Linked DNA regions of Saccharomyces cerevisiae S288C. The gene in region 1 interacts genetically with each later gene. Each region holds a gene or a part of one and is shown in the gene's direction. Other genes may lie near its edges.

Region 1 (9,126 bases):
ATCCTTACAAACATGACGACATTGAGCTGTACAAAGCTATGACCAACCGTTCCATAATTAACTCTTTTCAACACATTGAAAATAAGACTTCCCCCATCGAAGCATCAAGTTCTTGCATGTCACAAGATACTTGATCGTAACCTCCTGAAGGTCCCTTTCAGAAACACATGGAGTGTAGTTTACTAGGAAGGAAGAAGAGACATCGAAAACTTTTTCACTTTATATAGGTGAGAAAAATGGTGCAAGAGAGCATGACCGTGTATGGTGACATATAAATGGTTGTTGGCAGCGAATTTAACAACACTGCAGATGTAGATGTCGTAGCTATCCTTCTCACGTTGTTGAATGCTGACTATTTTGTTATTAAGCAACGCCTTGTTAGTGCTTGTTTTACAAAGCGTATTAAATGGTATTTTATTTATGCTATCGCTTTATTATCTTTATTTTCATCACGTAACACGGTGTGTGCGCCATATTAATGTTGCAACAGTCGTGAGGTGATTAACAAACAGTATCAGACTAAACTCACCCTTTGGTGATATGCAATTTCTTGAGGCGCAAAAGGTTGATCCTGAAAGCTTTTGTGATAGACTACCTTCAAGCAAAGCGAACGTAAACGGCAAAGATGGATACCAGCAACCACAACCAAGACCACGACTCCCACGTGGCGGCACAGAGGGAGAACGACAATAATTATATGCCACCTTCCCCCTCCATGAGCGAGAGTTCTATGATTTTTGAAAGAAATGTAGAGGACCCATCATACCTTTATAAAACGGTGTCAAACAACGCTGCAAACTCTCTCTCTAGGCAGAGCAGCAGGACCAGTTTGTTCAATCATAATAATTCTAGTAATAGGAACTTCCATAACTTAAGCCAGAGATCGTCTGCTGTGAATCTACATTTGCAACCTTCTAGGACTAATGAGTCAATAGCATCGTACCAGACATACAATCCGGATTTTGTTGTGCAGACTCCACTGGATCACCGTCGTACCTTAGAGAATTTCGTCCCTCCTGCATTAGACGCTGGCTGTTCTATTGTAACTGACGACACGACTGGCCTTGATGACGTTGATATGGTTTATTCGAGAAGGCCATCTACCATCGGCCTGGATAGAGCCCTAGGTAGGACAAGAAGTCTTTCGTCACAATCTTTTGATAACGAAACGTCGCCTGCGCATCCAAGATCTCCCAACGACCATGGTTCAAGACTACTAAGGTTTTATTCCTACGCTGACATGTTGTCCGATGACAACAATAACAACGTTAGTAATGCGACATCAACATCATCAACTGCGAACCCCTTGAGAAGACCCCCAATGCAAGGTCACTACTCGTTCTCGTCGTCCCTTTTGAATTCTCCTTCTCATTTGCCTTCCCCCCCATCAGCTTCGGCATCACCACCTCAGCATATGAACTTCACCAACCCTTTCATCATATCTAGACGTTACTCTAACACAACGATCAACAATGCCAATGGGGGAACCAGCGCTGGAAGCACTACGGGGGCCGCACTATCAAGATCGCCATCGAACCAACAGTACTTACTTAAACAACAAAGGTCACCTTCAGGGAGCGCCCGTTCAAGAAGAAACAGCAATAGGCCCGGCAGTGCTGCCAACATTATGATCGGGAAACCTAAATCCAAATTCCATATGGAATCCAGTGGCAGTGAAGGGTTTTCTTCCGAAGAGGAGGACAACACTATGATTGAAAGAGATAAACTCAATCTAAAGCAAAAATTGCAGTCACAACTGGCACAACCACCATCAATTGCCAACATGGTTAACGATAATCACAATAATACTAATAAACACAAGAATACTATTAATAATAACATCAAAAATAGCCCTGCGTTCACAAACTCGAATCCAAGTTCAAAATCAAATTCAAACTCTACAATAACCTCTATGAATCCAGACACAACCAAATAAAGAAAACTGAAGGGCCGCGATTGTTCATTTCTTCAACCTTCTTCTCCTACTCTAAAAATTCATTTAAGTCTCTTTTTTCCATATATATAGATATATAACGGTATTTTATGTATGCACGTATACCCCAATAATGCCACTAATTTACTCCGTTTTCCAATCCATAATCAGCAAAGACCATATGTGATTTCAAATATAAAAAATGAGAAACATGTGAATATGTATATATGTTATGCGGGAACCAACCCTTTACAATTAGCTATCTAACTAGTCCTTTTTCGAGCTCCAGAATTTACCATCACCCTTATCATTCCATTCTTTGAATTTGTTCTTGGCTTCATCGTACTTTTTCAACGCTTCATCGTACTTCTTTTGGGCCTCATCTTTTAAAGCCTGCTTGTCATTGTCGACCTTGGAAGTCCATCCAGACCACCAGTGGCTGCCGTACTGTTTCAAGTCCTCCTTCGCCTTAGATAACGAGTCCATGGCATCGGACACGTTCTTATCCAGTTGTTTCTTTGAATTCTCATAATTCCATCTTAAATCGTCCATTTCGTCCTTGGAAAGTTGAGCGGCTGTTTCACCCCATCCTTCTAAACCTCTGGCTACCCGTTCAGCAATCTGTTGCTCGCTTTGCTCCCCTTTGTTGTAACCAAACCAGCCCTTTTCCTTGATCTTCTTCAGCTCGTCAAGACGTTTTTGCGCCTCGCTTGGCTCTGAAGAAGCATTTCTCTTGGCTTCCTCCAACTCTTCTCTACCAAACTCCTGTGCCGTATCACCCCAGCCTTGGACACTTCTTGCAGCGGCTTCTTCAGTATTAGCGTCACCCGTGTTATTCTTCAACAGGCGTTTCAAAGGATTACTGTTCCTTTCCTGTTGGTCTAGCTTGTCCGAAAGCTCATTAAAGTCTCTGGCTCTCCCGTACCTTTCGTACTCAATGGATGCTCTGTCCAGAGCGGCCTTCTTCTCTCTCATCACCGTGGACAAGAGCTCCTTCTCATTACGATCCACTGCCTCTTCGAAACGCTTCTTAGCAGTATCAAATTCCCCGATGGCTATGGCTTTCCTTCTTTCAGCCTCACTAAACCCCCAATTGAAGATGCTTTGCGAGGAAGAATCCTTGGCTTTTTGGCCTAGCTGCTTGCGTGTCTGAGCATCCTCTTCCGGTGATATCACACGCTTAGTTACCTTTGGAGCCTCTTCCCTAGCCTTTTGAGATACGCCCAGAAGCGCGTCTTTTAACGACAAGGCATCTTCCTTTATGCCTTGCTTTATGTTATGTAGCTTTCCCAACTGTGGGGGTGCTGAACTGCCGTACTCCTGGCCGTTGTAGTAAGCGGAGACGTTGCCCTCTCTTCTCTGACCCTTGGCCTTCTGTTCTCTGACCATGATGCTAGCTGTGATGGCAGCTGCCAATGCTGCACTGCCGACAATTATTCTTGATGACATCCTTATCTGCTTGTTTTATTAAATGATTAACGTTACTGGCCAATCAAAAATACCCTTTATTTCAAGAAAGGGCAAAGAAGCAGGACTTTAGCAAGAACCGTTTCCCCTTATATATACTCCTCTTCAAGGAACTCGACAAAATAAGGGTCAACAAACTCCTCCCTTAACCCACACGGGCCACCGGCGAGCTTGTGCTCCTGCGAATAGCAGTACACTATTGGTTGTTGCAAATCCTGACGATTCACTTTCAAACACCATGCAGGCAGGAGAGTCAAACAAGACTGTTTGCTGTGTTATTGTCACCGCTGATGGTTGTGATGACCACCGCTTACCTATGACGAGGGGCAACGTCTTCACATTTCATGTTTACCACCAATATGCCAATTATTTTAAGAAATCTGCATAACAGAAGGACGCCAGCTGGCCATAGCATTTATAGATTCCTGCATTAATGTAACCGTCCGCACACCGTATGTATCAGCTTGTCAATTATTATATGAAATGTATATATATTTACGAACTTCAATTTTGTCAACATATTTCTGGAACAAGACTGGCTGGAACGGCTCAGCACACACAGGACAGAATATCAAAATTCTCGAGTACTTTGAGAACCCCCTTCAAGTGAGGTACCACCCTTGGTTGTAGTCTTGTATATTAATCCTTCTTTTCTTTAGTATAAATCGATCCTTTCTATTATACAATTCGCCGGTAATTTTTCAGTGAAAAACGAGTTTTGCAGTCAAACCATTCCTGGATGTGCTATACAAAAAAAAGGTCCGAAGACGTGTAAAGGATATATAACGCCAGGTTGATCATCACTAACCATCATGTCTGATAATTTGTTATCTTTAGAGAATCCGGTGGTGCCTAGTCACTATGAGTTGCGTCTAGAAATTGACCCTAAGCAGTCGTCGCCCAATTTCAAAGGATCCGCCATAATCCATTTGAAATTCAATCCGAACTCCACCACCTTAGCTTCTATCGAAGACAGTTTTACCCAGTTCAAGTTACATTCCAAGGATTTGATTGTGTTGTCTGCACATGCCACCATAGGGTCTACTAAGTTTGATCTAAAAATTTCTCAGGACACTGGAAAGCATTTGTCGATTTTCAACTCTGAATCTCCTATTCAATTGTCCAACGATTGCCCTCTGATTTTGTCCGTGCAATACGTGGGTAAAATTCGTGACATAAAAACACATCATGATAAGACTTTTGGTATTTTCAAAACCAATTTTATGGATCGTAAAACCGGTACTGCCAATAATCACGTCGTTGCTACTCACTGCCAACCGTTTTCCGCTAGCAATATTTTCCCATGTATTGACGAGCCTTCAAACAAGTCCACTTTTCAATTGAACATTGCAACGGATGCACAATATAAAGCCGTTTCCAATACTCCTGTAGAGATGGTCGAAGCTTTGGATAGTTCTCAAAAACATTTGGTGAAATTTGCCAAGACACCTTTGATGACTACTTCCGTATTTGGTTTTTCTATTGGTGATTTAGAATTTTTGAAAACGGAAATCAAGTTGGAAGGTGATAGGACTATTCCCGTTTCAATTTATGCACCTTGGGATATTGCTAATGCAGCTTTCACTTTAGATACAGTCCAGAAATATCTACCTTTGTTGGAATCCTATTTTAAATGTCCATACCCTCTGCCAAAGTTAGATTTCGTCCTACTACCATATTTAAGTGACATGGCAATGGAGAACTTTGGTATGATCACCATCCAACTAAACCACCTGCTCATACCACCAAATGCCTTGGCCAATGAAACCGTCAGAGAGCAAGCACAGCAACTCATTGTCCACGAACTCGTTCATCAATGGATGGGCAACTACATATCTTTTGACTCGTGGGAATCTCTTTGGTTTAATGAGTCTTTCGCTACTTGGTTAGCTTGCCACATACTAGAACAGAATGGTGACCTATCCCATTATTGGACCTCGGAACCTTATTTACTACAGCAAGTGGAGCCGACCATGTGCAGAGATGCAGCTGACGTTAATGGAAGAAGCATATTTCAGATTGCGCAACGGAACACTGGCATAGATTCTCAAACCTCCGATATTTTTGATCCTGAGGCATACACAAAGGGTATTATCATGCTGAGGTCCCTGCAATTGGCTACAGGCGAATCTCATCTACAAAAGGGCCTGGAAAGTGTATTTGAAGATACTAAAACATTTCATGCGAGAAGCGTCAAACCAATGGATATATGGAATCATATCGGAAAATTTTTGAAGTCTCAAAATATTACAAACTTTGTTTCATCTTGGACAAGAACGCCAGGCTTACCTGTCGTTAAGGTCGAAGTAGAAGAGAAAGACGGGAAAACGCAAACAAAATTGACTCAACACAGATTTATCAATCAATTATCTACTGAAGAAAAGGATCAGTTAGAAGATGTCCCATATCAGGTACCCTTATTCGGGGTTCTGCCAGATGGTAAAATGGATACTAAAAATGTACTATTGACGGATAGGACCTTAAAGTTCGATTATCCTATCTTAGTAATTAACCATTTAGCCCAAGGTTATTACCGCGTTTCATATGAGTCCGAAGAGTGCTATGCATTGATTAATGATAAAATAACTGAGGAGACGTTATCCGAGATTGACCTTCGGAAGATTTTCTTAGACTTGTCGCAGTTTATTGGAGATGAGGGTTTCCAGAATTCTATTCATTTGCACGGTCTCTTTAAGATACTAAACCATATCGCTTCTCCTTCCACAAAGATTGCATCAAAATATTGGGATCCTCTTTCCAAGGGGTTGGAAGTTCTGCAAACGATCGATCGTGCCAGTTTAACGAGCTCTAAATTACAATCTTTCTTAAAGAAAAAAATTGTCATTCCCCTTTTCAATAAGATTGATTGGCCCCACGGTGAATTTGATAAAAGCACAAACCCTCACGAGTTGAAAGTCATGTCTCAAGTCTTGTTTTTAAATAAAAACTCCGCAAAATGTGCTGAATTGTGTCAAATTTATTTTAAACATCTATTACAGGGCCCACGTTCGAGCGTACCGTTAGAATTAGTGAACTCAATCCTTGTCGTCGTATCGCAACATTGTGCAAACATCAAGCAGTGGAAGAAAATATTCGATTTGGTGAAACGCAGTTCCTGTACTGGTATCACAAACCATGTCATTAATATGTATGACCAAAACAGTAGCGAAACCGCCATGTTGATTCAAAACGGTGCAATAGAATCTCTTGGATTCTGTTTAGATTCTGATATCGTGAAAAAAACTTTGAATTTTATCACTTCCAATATTGAGTCAGAGGGGATGGAACTGGCATTATTCGGATTTAATTACAACTTTAAGAAGAGGCTGAACAAAAACGAGAAACCTCAAGACCAAGTCGTTCGTGAAACGATCTGGGAGTGGTATATGGGCAATTTTGACCAATGGGCACGGAAGGCTACAAGGAAAGGTACCACCACGGGGGATCATCTACACAAGGCGTTAAGGAGTATTTCCCTGATAATCTTTCAAATGTTTGTAGCAGACGAGCCACAGAAGATAGAAAAGTTTATTAATTTGGAGAAAGAGAAGTTGGGTCAAAGCTTGTTATCTTTGGACGACATCTGGGCCTCTGTCCAGCAAGATGAAGAGTCCAGAAAGACTATAAGAAGAGACTTGGCCTCCTTGGTCTGATTTTTTACAAGTATTTCAACACACTATCGTACGTAGATTTAGTAGTCTTCTAAAATAGTACTATAAACGATGTTCTCTTAGCAGAATTCGAGTTATTATTGTCATATACTACGAAAAACCTGTAGATTCAACAATAATAGGTTGGTATAAAAGAATGTAAACATAAGGAATATTAATCTAGTAATTTTTTTCTCATGAGGTTGAGAAAGCATCTAAAATAGCAATTAGCAAAATGGAGAAGATCAAAGAGAAATTGAATAGCTTAAAATTAGAATCTGAGTCATGGCAAGAAAAATATGAGGAGCTGAGAGAACAGCTCAAAGAATTAGAGCAATCTAACACTGAAAAAGAAAACGAGATTAAATCTTTGTCCGCTAAAAACGAGCAACTCGACAGTGAAGTGGAGAAGTTAGAGAGTCAATTGTCTGATACAAAGCAATTGGCTGAAGACTCCAATAACTTGAGATCTAATAATGAGAACTACACCAAGAAAAACCAGGATCTAGAACAACAGCTAGAAGACAGTGAAGCCAAACTGAAGGAAGCAATGGATAAACTGAAAGAGGCCGATTTGAACTCTGAGCAAATGGGTAGAAGGATCGTTGCTTTGGAAGAAGAAAGAGATGAATGGGAAAAGAAGTGCGAAGAATTCCAAAGCAAATATGAAGAAGCTCAAAAAGAATTGGACGAAATTGCTAATTCATTGGAAAATTTATGATTCCCATTGATAAGACTAAAATTACGGAAGATACAAACGACAAACGCGCTAAAGGCAACGGAGGTGATGATTTTATTATTGCTCACACAACTGATGTTGCTGACAGATGGCAAATCCTTTTCATTTTAGTTATTATCATTGGGTGCTTTTTGGAAAAAAGATGAACTAAGCCTCTCTTTATTTCGTCCATTTTATTCTAGCTTTTACATTATGCTTTCACCTTTACCAAAAAATAGTATGTATTTCTTTTCCCCTTGCTATAAATCAAAAGTACGTAGAAACATAAACAGGCGAGAAATACATATGCATATACGTCTACACTACTAATTTAATTTCCACTTTCTTAATATCAGTCAATCGAAACCACTAGCTTTCACACTAAGACTAGACCCTGTTTAACTAATATAAACTTTTCCAGAAAGCTAAAAAAAAGGTCGGAAAAAGAAGGTATACGTTTTTGCGACGACTGAGATCCAAGAAGAAAAAAAAAATAGTAATCGTTGCGTCAGCTTTATGAATAGATGGGTAGAGAAGTGGCTGAGGGTATACTTAAAATGCTACATTAATTTGATTTTATTTTATAGAAATGTATACCCACCTCAGTCATTCGACTACACTACTTACCAGTCATTCAACTTGCCGCAGTTCGTTCCCATTAATAGGCATCCTGCTTTAATTGACTATATAGAAGAACTTATACTGGATGTTCTTTCTAAATTAACGCACGTTTACAGATTTTCCATCTGCATTATTAATAAAAAGAACGATTTATGCATTGAAAAATACGTTTTAGATTTTAGTGAATTACAACATGTGGATAAAGACGATCAGATCATTACGGAAACTGAAGTGTTCGACGAATTCCGATCTTCCTTAAATAGTTTGATTATGCATTTGGAGAAATTACCTAAAGTCAACGATGACACAATAACATTTGAAGCAGTTATTAATGCGATCGAATTGGAACTAGGACATAAGTTGGACAGAAACAGGAGGGTCGATAGTTTGGAGGAAAAAGCAGAAATTGAAAGGGATTCAAACTGGGTTAAATGTCAAGAAGATGAAAATTTACCAGACAATAATGGTTTTCAACCTCCTAAAATAAAACTCACTTCTTTAGTCGGTTCTGACGTGGGGCCTTTGATTATTCATCAGTTTAGTGAAAAATTAATCAGCGGTGACGACAAAATTTTGAATGGAGTGTATTCTCAATATGAAGAGGGCGAGAGCATTTTTGGATCTTTGTTTTAAGTGCAAAAATGAAATTTGAAGAATGGAATTAAAATTAAATGTCTCTAAGTATAAAAACTAAATAAAATATAGGGTATCTGTAAACCACTAATAAAAAATAAAAC
Region 2 (5,437 bases), on another chromosome or scaffold:
GCTTATTTATTATACTGTTTCGATTGCAATTTCATATTGCTTATTGGTGATAACTCTCGGATCCTATGCTTGGACTAGAGGATTGACCAACCCGATTTGTTAGGATCTTTTCTTTATACTTTTCCCTGCATAATCATCCCACTTTTTTTTTTTTTTTTTTTAATTCATTTTCAAGATTTTAGACGTTGTATAATACATTTTTACCCACTACTGCGGTTTATTGTAATATTTTGTGAGATTTTATGAATGCGTTCCATCATCTATTTACTACAAAACGATAAATTTCCCCGTTTTCTTTTACTTTTACTTCATTTAATATAATTCATATTTATTTCCCATGTACCAATTAATTACTCATAAAAAGAACAGAAATAGAAAAAAGTTGTATATAACAAGCCAAAAAAAAGAAAAAAAAAGGAAAAAAAAGAAAACACAGCTTATTTCAAATTGCAATCTGCGTATTTCGTAAGTAACGAATGATCTCACAGCATTGCTTTTTTTTTTTTTTATATATATATGTACATTACCTATGTCACATATGACCATGATGAATACAACACTAAAAACCAAGGCCTACTATTCAATTGTTCTCTATATGATTTCCATTCTAGCAAAATCGAGTGCTACCGACCTGCCGTTTTCTTTACCTTTCGAACCATTGAGCTGTTAGCCTTCTCTTCACAGAAACTGAAAGTCATTAAAAGCCTCCCCTTCAACAATTCCCTTGTCTTTTGTTTCAGCTATATAATGCGTTTATAGCTCTAATTGTGGTCGAATAGGAAGAATTTGCGTTAACACCCGTAACTAGCTTTCCATCTGTAATAGAGTAGTCATCCCAGGGATGGATTGGCGCCAAGTACTTGGCTCCATTCTTGTTTGCAACGCGTTCAACCGTTGTCAATTTTCTGCTCCTCAAGATGTCGTCAACTCCCAGGGCGATTTCACCCTCGAGTGGGAAACCTGTTATAGCTTTGCCTTCGATTAATGGTCTTGTTGTTTTGATATCTATTAATCCATCGAAAAGGAGCGGTCCATGACAGATGGCAGCGATCACACCCCCATTGGCATATATCTTGGATGCAATATCTTGCAGATTTTTAGCTTTGGGATAGTCAAATAGAGCACCATGTCCAGCAGATGCAAAGAATACTTTATAGTCGCTGGCGTTGACTTCATTTGCGGTCTTGATCCTCGCTAACGCCTTATTGAAGGCGGAATTTTTCGTTTCAAAGTTCATCTTATCTTCGCCACCAATAAAGCTCTTTGGCAAGTAATGTTCATCCCAGCCAAATCCACCAGTCTCAGAAACGAAGTCCACTTCGAAACCATGCTTTTCGAATGTATCGAACGATCGCAAAATCTCAACTACAAAAACGCCTGTTTTCGCACCATCTTTGTAGAAGGGACCGTGGTATGAAGTAAGAGATATTAGCGCTCTTTTTGGAGTCATTGCAAGGCCAGTTTTCTTTTTGAATGAAGGAGAAAAGTGTTCTAGAAATATGTTTTAGTTCTAAGTATCGTTGTCTGGAGCAAGCAAAGAAAAGCAGACCTGTATGTGCAACTTTCCTGTTTTCCATTAAAATCTCAAGAACCGACCCCTTGACTGTGCTCATATATCAAGTATCGGTTTTAAAGTCCCCTAATTGTGATAATTGCAAGAACGACAGTCAGAAAGATATTTTTTTTTTTCTTTCTCTTTACCTATCCTCCATAAAAATACCTATGCTGATACTGAATATCTTCATTTGCAGCTATGCAATATTTCAGATACCCCATTTTACCCAAGAGTTTCTTACTGGTGGTTGGATTTTCTTTAAGACGAGAAGATTACCAGTCCTGGATGTTCGTGAATGTGCCTATTGCGTCATCAGCGACTCCGCGCCAAGAAAAGAAATACTCGCATGCTCGGATTTATAGAATCGCATAATGGAAATACCTTCCTTAAAGGATGGAGATAAGGAAAAAATGACAAGAACAAGGAAGTACTTGGGAGCTTTCTCCGACATGGTAAATATTTGAAACTCACGCAGCTCTCCTGGAAAGTTGGATCTGGAAAGGTAAGGTTGTTTTTTTTACAGACATCAACCAAAATCGGTTCTTGTAGTAGACAATGTCACAGATCGCCACAAGTTGAAAAAAAAGTTTCGATGAACTGGATAAGGGGAGAGGTCACAAACAAAGTGTAGGGGGTGAGTAGTATAGTGGTAACTTGTTCATTTACCTAAATAACATTCTCACTAGAAAAGAGATATTGAAAGACTCCTCGTTTACCTAACTTGGCTGGTTCTTAGGTATATAATAGAAACATGGATCTGGCAGGTTATCACTTACAGTTTGCACTCCCACCAGGTTACAATTTTCATTATATATAGTTATTTTTTACCACCACTTCTTCTTCTTTCACTTTGTCTTGCAATAGAAATACCAAAACAAGGTGAGGAAAAAATCGAATCTCAACGATAAAAATATGTCCATCACGAAGGTACATGCTAGAACGGTGTATGATTCTCGCGGCAATCCGACTGTTGAGGTTGAAATTACAACAGAGAATGGTCTCTTCAGAGCGATCGTCCCATCTGGTGCCTCCACCGGCATTCACGAAGCTGTTGAACTTAGAGACGGGAACAAGTCCGAATGGATGGGAAAAGGGGTGACCAAGGCAGTCAGTAACGTCAATAGTATCATAGGGCCTGCTTTAATCAAGTCCGAATTATGTGTAACCAATCAGAAGGGCATAGACGAGCTCATGATATCGTTAGACGGAACTTCTAACAAGTCAAGGTTGGGCGCCAATGCTATCCTTGGTGTTTCCTTGTGCGTTGCTCGAGCTGCTGCCGCACAAAAGGGAATTACTCTCTACAAGTATATAGCCGAGTTAGCGGATGCTAGACAGGACCCCTTTGTTATTCCTGTTCCTTTTTTCAATGTTTTGAATGGTGGAGCCCACGCCGGTGGCTCTTTAGCTATGCAAGAATTCAAGATCGCGCCAGTCGGGGCTCAGAGCTTTGCAGAAGCCATGAGGATGGGTTCGGAAGTTTACCATCATTTGAAGATATTGGCGAAGGAGCAATATGGACCTTCCGCTGGAAATGTTGGTGACGAGGGTGGAGTTGCCCCCGATATTGACACTGCCGAAGACGCCTTGGACATGATTGTGGAAGCCATTAACATATGCGGTTACGAGGGTAGAGTGAAAGTAGGAATCGATAGTGCTCCTTCTGTTTTTTATAAGGACGGGAAATACGACCTAAATTTCAAGGAACCGAACTCTGACCCATCTCACTGGCTCAGTCCAGCCCAGTTAGCAGAATATTACCATTCATTGCTAAAGAAATACCCAATCATTTCCCTGGAAGATCCCTACGCCGAAGATGATTGGTCCTCGTGGTCTGCCTTCCTAAAGACTGTCAATGTTCAGATTATTGCAGATGACCTGACATGCACCAACAAGACCAGGATCGCCCGTGCTATAGAGGAGAAATGTGCGAATACTCTGTTGCTGAAACTCAACCAGATCGGTACTCTGACTGAGTCTATTGAAGCCGCCAATCAGGCTTTCGATGCTGGATGGGGTGTAATGATATCGCATAGATCAGGTGAAACCGAAGATCCGTTTATCGCTGATTTGGTCGTTGGTTTAAGATGTGGTCAAATTAAATCGGGCGCTTTGTCGAGATCAGAAAGACTGGCCAAGTATAATGAACTTTTGCGTATCGAAGAGGAACTGGGGGACGATTGTATATATGCTGGTCATAGGTTTCATGATGGAAACAAACTATAAAGGATTGTCTTGTTTCCTTTTTTTTTTTTTTTTTTTTGTTTTTTTATGACTAAATAAAGTAAATCATATGAGGTTTTATTTTTTATTTCGTTGATTTGGGTTACAGTATGGAAATGGGGCATTTGACACAAGTTATTTTATTCATATGTTTTATCTTGTAGGAAATCAAACCGTTTTTAAAGTTTTCCATTGCCTACACACAAAATCATTACGAATCTGTCTGAACAAGGGTGGACGTGTGGGGGAAGGCTGTTCCAATCAAGAAATGCTTACAACTCTACTAACACTGCAGTTTTTCAGCTTTCTGATTAATCTCTTCGGTTTAAATTTTTTAGCAGCTATTACTTTCTAGTAACCCTTATAACGCGGTTGGTATCAAATCTTCCTGATAGTACAAGCAGACCTTTGACCCCATTCTTGTTGTGTCTTGAAATCTTTTTTTCTGACAAAAGTAAGAAGTTACACCATAATAGAGAAGTTAAATAATGAAAGTGTATCGATCATAGAAATGATTTTATTTTTTTCAACTACTGTTACGGTCAAGAAACTAATACTGAGGATAAGTTTTCGCAACAATGATTTTGGTACAAGTGATTTAAAGTCTTGAATTACTTCAACACAATTTGCTTTGCGACGGTTTAGAATAACGTAATCGTATCAACGAATCCACTAGGCGCGCGTAAAAATTACAGACTCTAACAATATACGACTCCCAGCACATACCTACTATTCTGTACAATTCCGGGAAATAGGAGGGTACAGTATTATTTTTTCTCGGCGATCGTTTAGGGTATACTGGAGATAGGCTTAGCAATACGCTTCTGAACGAGGATCTATAGCAACTAAATTCAGACATTCTGCTATACCAAAAAAGGAAGTATCACAGGCACGGAAAAGGGTTTTATAAGGCACCTCGGCACCCCTATAACTGGCATTCTCACATTCGGCGCATACGAATAGACAAAGGCCCCAGAAAACAATACCTTCGCATACAGAATCTATAAAGATGCATGCCTCGTTTAAAAACAAAAACATCTTCATAGTGATCATGAAGTTGTGGGAAAGATGAGATATGGAGAATATGTGAAGTGCTAAAGGAGCATCTGTTAACGAATCGTTTAAGTGGTGATGACCAATGAAGGAATAGGTATAAATAGAGATACTTCAACTATATGCCTTCGAGAATATGTCTTTATTCATTTCTTTCCTGTTAAGCTTATATCAGCACTAACAAACAAAACAAATACAATGGTCAAATTAACTTCAATCGCTGCTGGTGTTGCCGCTATCGCTGCCGGTGTTGCCGCTGCTCCAGCCACTACCACTCTATCTCCATCTGACGAAAGAGTCAACTTGGTCGAATTGGGTGTTTACGTCTCCGATATCAGAGCTCATTTGGCTCAATACTACTTGTTTCAAGCAGCTCATCCAACAGAGACCTACCCAGTTGAGATTGCTGAAGCTGTTTTCAACTATGGTGACTTCACCACCATGTTGACTGGTATTCCAGCTGAACAAGTCACCAGAGTCATCACTGGTGTCCCATGGTACTCTACCAGATTGAGACCGGCTATCTCCAGTGCTCTATCTAAGGACGGTATCTACACTGCTATTCCAAAATAGAGAGAAGCTTTTACGAACGAAATTCCATAGACA
Region 3 (6,716 bases), on another chromosome or scaffold:
TCCAATGTTTCACATTTCACTAGAACTAAATTGGTTAGATCTATAGGTTATGTCGTTCAATGTCAAGTCTCCAACGGTCCAGAGGAGCAAGCTAAATATATTTTACAATTGACGAACCTATTGAGCGGCTCAATAGAGCATTGTTTGGCTTCATCGGTACAGTTACAAGAACAACAAGATTATATTAATTGTCTATTATACTGTATATCTGAGCTAGCAACAAGTTTGATCCAACCTACTGAAATCATCGAAAATGATGCATTACTACAAAGGTTATCTGAGTTTCAAAGTTTCTGGTCCAGCGATCCCTTACAAATCCGATCGAAAATTATGTGCACCATTGATAAGGTCTTGGATAATTCAATATATTGTAAAAACTCCGCCTTTGTGGAGATCGGTTGTTTGATTGTTGGTAAAGGATTAAATCTGCCCGACGGGGAACCGTACTTCCTCAAGTACAATATGTCTGAAGTTATGAATTTTGTTTTGCGGCATGTCCCCAACTGTGAGCTTGCTACTTGCTTGCCTTATTTTGTTTATTTATTAGAAAAGCTTATTTCAGAGTTCAGGAAGGAACTAACACCACAAGAATTTGATTTCATGTTTGAAAAGATCCTTCTAGTCTATTATGATGCATATATTATCAATGATCCGGACCTTTTACAAATGACAATAGGTTTTGTTAATAACGTTTTGGACGTGAAGCCAGGCTTAGCTATTGGCAGTAAACATTGGACATCATTTATTTTACCTCAATTTTTAAAATTAATACCTTCAAGAGAAAAGTTCACAATTGTTGCGGTGGCAAAATTTTGGACTAAGTTGATCAATAATAAGAAATACAACCAAGAAGAACTCACAACTGTTAGGCAACAAGTTTCCTCTATAGGAGGAGACCTTGTGTACCAAATTATGTATGGCTTATTCCACACACAAAGGTCCGATCTGAATAGTTACACAGATCTGCTAAGAGCTTTGGTAGCCAAGTTTCCAATTGAAGCAAGAGAGTGGCTCGTTGCTGTTTTGCCCCAAATATGTAACAATCCTGCAGGTCATGAAAAATTTATTAATAAATTACTTATTACGAGAGGAAGCAGAGCAGCTGGAAATGTTATTTTGCAGTGGTGGTTGGATTGTACCACACTTCCAAATTACCAAGGATGATTTGTTAAGAATTTCTCCGCTGAGGGTGAAGGCTATTCTTTGTTACATTTTATTTAGTAATGCGTTGATCCTTTTTGATAGATTTTTTTTTTGTGCTTTAAAGATAGTAGCAGTATATATGTGTGTAAAAGCTAATCATCAGAAGTGCAGCATTCATTGCTAGTATTTAGTGATAAAAATTTTAGAATTTCCATTTCTAATTGTAATTGCTTTTCATTCCAATACATGTTTGAGCTTCTGGGGGGTAAAAATACATTTCCAGACAGGGCGTCAGGTTGAAAGCAGTTACTGAAACATAGAGAGTCGACGTCAGGAGGAGGCTTCAAATGGTTTTCTGAAAGTGATTCGGTCTTATTTTTCCATTTTCTAAAATGGTGAATCCTTTCTCTGGAAATGTGTGATCCCTTTGCCTTTTGTGAAAACTTTTTTAACGAGCTTTTTAGGTTATTAGTTGTCTCAAGAAGGTTTATGGGCCCGCTGGTCTCGATATCTGCGTAATTTAATGGACGTATCGTGTCTTCCATGGAGTGAATTGTGATTTGTGAATTATATCTGTCCAATACCGTTGCCTTGTTGGGAGCTCAGATAGAAAAGACATCTTAATTCCAGACAGTCTATTCTCTGTCTATTTCTCTTTGTGACTGCAAATTTTAATTTGTGACGCCTTTTCTTATTACTCATGTATTTGTCACTCTTGACGATTGTTTTTTTTCTATATTTTTTTTGTTCTGGGGTCCTCCAGAGAATAAAAAATAATGATCAATATAGTAGATAGTATAGTTATATTCTTATTCGTTGCACCTTGTTTAACAAATCACTCAGACTCAAAGAGAATATCGGTTGGTTATCTCTCTCCGAAGGTGAACAGCAAACAGTACCTCACGTCTTTTTTTTGAATAGTTTTTTTTTTTGTTGAAACAGAAAAAAAACTTTCTTCCGTATATTACATTGTACATTATTTTTATTGTATTTTAGTTTCCAACGTTAGGATTTGAGCCGTCATTAATATTATTCGTTTTTGTACACTATTCCAGACGATTTATTTTTAGTACACTTAAAATTCCTGTTGATATTGTCCACTAGTTCTCTTTTCATATTTTATTTTCGCTTATTCTTTAGGTTCTTTTAAGAGTCTCTGTTCATTTTCCGTTCTTACTGTTTCTTTGTCCTCGATATCTTTTAAGAAAGAGAGAACTAAGCGCTGTAACATTTTTAAGTGGACCTACGTTATGTCTACAAAAGGTTTGAAAGAAGAAATCGATGATGTACCATCAGTAGACCCTGTCGTTTCAGAAACAGTCAATTCTGCTTTAGAGCAGTTGCAACTAGATGATCCAGAGGAAAACGCCACCTCTAATGCATTTGCGAATAAAGTTTCTCAAGATTCTCAATTCGCTAATGGCCCTCCGTCGCAAATGTTTCCACATCCACAAATGATGGGTGGAATGGGCTTCATGCCCTACTCTCAAATGATGCAGGTTCCTCATAATCCTTGTCCATTTTTTCCGCCCCCTGATTTTAATGATCCAACAGCACCATTGAGTAGCTCGCCCTTGAATGCAGGCGGTCCACCAATGTTATTCAAGAATGACTCACTTCCATTTCAAATGCTGTCTTCGGGTGCTGCGGTAGCAACTCAAGGTGGACAAAATCTAAACCCATTGATAAATGACAATTCAATGAAGGTATTGCCAATCGCATCGGCTGATCCGTTATGGACTCATTCAAACGTACCAGGATCAGCATCTGTAGCCATTGAAGAAACCACCGCTACTCTACAAGAAAGCCTACCATCTAAGGGCAGGGAGTCTAATAATAAGGCTAGTTCGTTCAGAAGACAAACTTTTCATGCTTTATCACCAACTGACCTTATCAATGCGGCCAACAATGTAACCTTGTCAAAGGACTTCCAATCTGACATGCAGAATTTTTCTAAGGCTAAGAAACCGTCTGTAGGAGCTAACAATACTGCAAAAACCAGAACTCAATCCATATCTTTTGATAATACTCCCTCCTCAACGTCATTTATACCCCCAACCAATAGTGTTTCTGAGAAATTATCCGATTTCAAAATAGAAACCTCGAAGGAGGATTTGATTAATAAAACTGCACCAGCTAAAAAAGAGAGTCCTACAACTTATGGTGCAGCATATCCATATGGGGGACCTTTACTTCAACCAAATCCTATTATGCCAGGCCACCCACATAATATATCCTCCCCTATCTATGGTATTAGATCACCTTTTCCTAATTCTTATGAAATGGGCGCGCAATTTCAACCTTTCTCTCCGATTTTAAATCCTACGAGTCATTCACTAAATGCAAATTCTCCAATTCCTCTAACCCAATCGCCAATTCATCTTGCACCAGTTTTAAACCCTAGTTCAAATTCTGTTGCCTTTTCAGATATGAAGAATGATGGTGGTAAGCCCACCACCGATAACGACAAGGCGGGTCCAAATGTTAGGATGGATTTAATAAATCCTAATCTTGGGCCATCAATGCAACCTTTCCACATATTACCTCCCCAGCAAAACACCCCCCCTCCTCCCTGGCTTTATAGCACTCCACCTCCCTTCAACGCAATGGTTCCGCCTCATTTGTTGGCTCAAAATCATATGCCGTTAATGAATAGCGCCAATAATAAACATCATGGTCGTAATAACAATAGCATGTCAAGTCATAATGACAATGACAACATTGGTAATTCTAATTACAACAATAAAGACACAGGTCGTTCTAACGTTGGTAAAATGAAAAATATGAAAAACAGTTATCATGGCTACTATAATAACAATAATAATAATAATAATAATAACAATAATAATAATAACAGTAATGCTACCAACAGCAACAGCGCGGAAAAACAACGTAAAATTGAGGAGTCGTCGAGATTTGCGGACGCAGTTTTAGACCAATATATCGGAAGTATTCACTCATTGTGTAAAGACCAACATGGTTGTCGTTTTCTGCAAAAGCAGTTGGATATTCTCGGCAGTAAGGCGGCGGACGCAATTTTTGAAGAAACTAAGGATTATACGGTTGAATTGATGACTGATTCATTCGGTAATTATTTGATCCAGAAGCTATTGGAAGAGGTTACCACAGAACAAAGAATCGTACTCACAAAAATATCTTCCCCTCATTTTGTCGAAATTTCCTTAAACCCTCATGGTACTAGGGCATTACAAAAACTCATTGAATGCATCAAAACAGATGAAGAAGCACAGATTGTTGTTGATTCTTTACGCCCTTATACTGTCCAGTTGAGTAAGGATTTAAATGGTAATCATGTTATTCAAAAATGTTTGCAAAGGTTGAAGCCTGAAAACTTCCAGTTTATCTTTGACGCAATCTCTGATAGCTGTATTGATATTGCTACTCATAGACACGGGTGTTGCGTTTTGCAACGTTGTCTAGATCATGGGACTACAGAACAATGTGACAATCTGTGTGATAAGTTGCTAGCCCTTGTTGATAAATTAACTTTGGATCCATTTGGCAACTATGTGGTGCAATATATAATTACCAAAGAGGCTGAGAAGAACAAATATGATTATACGCATAAAATTGTCCACCTGTTGAAACCAAGAGCCATCGAACTTTCTATCCATAAATTTGGATCAAATGTGATTGAAAAAATCTTGAAGACAGCTATTGTTTCGGAGCCAATGATTCTGGAAATTTTAAATAATGGTGGCGAGACGGGTATTCAATCATTGTTGAATGATAGCTACGGAAATTACGTTTTACAGACAGCATTAGACATTTCTCATAAGCAAAATGACTATCTCTATAAAAGACTATCAGAGATTGTGGCGCCTTTACTGGTGGGCCCCATAAGAAATACACCTCATGGTAAAAGAATCATCGGAATGTTACATTTAGATTCATAGTTGATACATATATCCTCAGTTTAGCTTTTTTTACGTTAGCCTCATATAATATCTTTTGTACAATACTAAAATACATCATTTTTTTTTTCGTTGAGGATCAAATGAATATCCAAAGCAAAAAAAATAGGAATTTTCACTTTATGGTATACTGGTAAATAGTGTTGAAGAAATAAGAGAAGGAGATGCCCTAGAAAACAGAATGTTCTTATTTAAATAAGTAAACTCAAAAGAAAAAAAAAAGGAAGGAAGTTTTTGAGAACTTTTATCTATACAAACGTATACGTTTAACTATCTGGATAAACGTCGCTCCACAGGATACTGTAGAGGTCCTCAAGATCACCGTTATTAACAAATTCATCTAGTGTCCCCAAATTAAAACTAGTTGCAGAAAAATTGTTACTGTTGTTGTTGTTAATATTGTTAATATTGTTTTTATTGTTGTTGTTGTTGTTGTTGTTGTTATTGATTTCATTTGTGTTCATAAATGGTACTTGTACTGAAGTGGGTATTTGCTGCTGAGCATTGATTGGTTTATTAGATTGGACTTGCGTATTATTTTGCCCATTTGTTGGTTGCGCGTAATCGGGATTGATCATATCAGACACGGATAATGACCTAAATGAAGGCAATTGTGCAAACTCCGGTAGTGAGTTGTTTCTCACTGGGGAAGGTGCTGAGCGACCATTGAATGGCAATTGAGGCGATTCAATGCCATTTAGTAAGCATGAAGTGCCCGTCTTAAGACTTGGGAGATCCGGATTCAAATTTTTTCCCGAATTATGCTTCATCTGCTTATTATCTTCATTTGACATTAGTGGTTCCTGAAACTTTCTATTTTTCAACATTTGTGAGACCGTTAAATGGAATCCTGACTTCTGAACAGGTTCTAATAAAAATCGATAAGCGCAAGAGTTTGTATCCAAGACAAGTTCTATTATACCTTTTAAATCTGGCGCATTCTCATCAATATATTTGGAGATAACATCGAGGTTGGTGCTAGAGGACTCTCCGTATGCCAAAAGCATGATACGAGTGACGATTGTCAGGAAAGAAAAAGCTCTTGTATAGTCTTTAAAGCTTTGGCTGTTGAAGACATGCTCATTGGTCTCATTTTCGGAAAAAATTTTTATATCCAAAAATCTTTTGAAGACTCTAATCATATTCACAACGTCATTTACTTTAATGAATTCGGCCACTGAGAATGCTTGTGATACCAAAATAATGCAACTGATAGAATAATGGGCGAACGAACGGTATACGGAATAATCGTTGTCAAAGTCTAATAAGATTTTGTTCATATCGGTCCATGATTTGTAAATCTTGTGAAGGTATATTTTCAAGTTTTCAATTAGTATTGAGGGCCTTCTGTGCACGCATAATCTGGCGACAATATTATCAGATTCGTTAACCATTCTGCAGAAATGGTGCTCGTAAAATAGAACAAATTTTGAAGCCATAATCTTATCCTCTCTTGAAACTTTGAGTTCAGTACTATCTTTAGAGAATGCAATATCGAACAATTTTCCAGTTTGCTCTTTGATAGCATCATATTTCATTTCTGTTTCGTTAAAAATCTCGAGTACCTCGAAGAGTAGTTTCTCTCTAACAACAGATGGTTTTGATGTATTCCTAATTGACGTGAATTTTTCATTGAAT

Evidence for each region. A genetic interaction does not mean that the proteins touch.
Region 2: mutations in TMA108 (region 1) and ERR1 together harm fitness more than expected from each alone (negative genetic interaction), as found in Saccharomyces cerevisiae (2 studies listed by BioGRID).
Region 3: mutations in TMA108 (region 1) and PUF4 impair growth when combined (synthetic growth defect), as found in Saccharomyces cerevisiae (one study listed by BioGRID).

What each region holds. Positions count from the first base shown.
Region 1 is NC_001141.2:87,875-97,000, reverse strand, and holds TMA108 (Tma108p), read left to right. Parts: upstream 1-4,212; coding exon 4,213-7,053; downstream 7,054-9,126. Other genes in the region: YIL134C-A (uncharacterized protein), read left to right, coding at 276-479; VHS2 (Vhs2p), read left to right, coding at 626-1,936; OM45 (Om45p), read right to left, coding at 2,201-3,382; tropomyosin TPM2, read left to right, coding at 7,286-7,771; REV7 (Rev7p), read left to right, coding at 8,285-9,022. UniProt on the Saccharomyces cerevisiae protein: Putative zinc aminopeptidase which may be involved in ribosome biogenesis.
Region 2 is NC_001147.6:1,077,809-1,083,245, forward strand, and holds ERR1 (phosphopyruvate hydratase ERR1), read left to right. Parts: upstream 1-2,467; coding exon 2,468-3,781; downstream 3,782-5,437. Other genes in the region: FEX1 (fluoride transporter), read left to right, coding at 1-103; HSP33 (glutathione-independent methylglyoxalase family protein), read right to left, coding at 737-1,450; seripauperin PAU21, read left to right, coding at 4,910-5,404.
Region 3 is NC_001139.9:463,748-470,463, forward strand, and holds PUF4 (Puf4p), read left to right. Parts: upstream 1-2,393; coding exon 2,394-5,060; downstream 5,061-6,716. Other genes in the region: KAP122 (Kap122p), read left to right, coding at 1-1,164; BIL2 (Bil2p), read right to left, coding at 1,296-1,688; drug-responsive transcription factor PDR1, read right to left, coding at 5,345-6,716. UniProt on the Saccharomyces cerevisiae protein: Is not essential for haploid growth, but may affect diploid formation.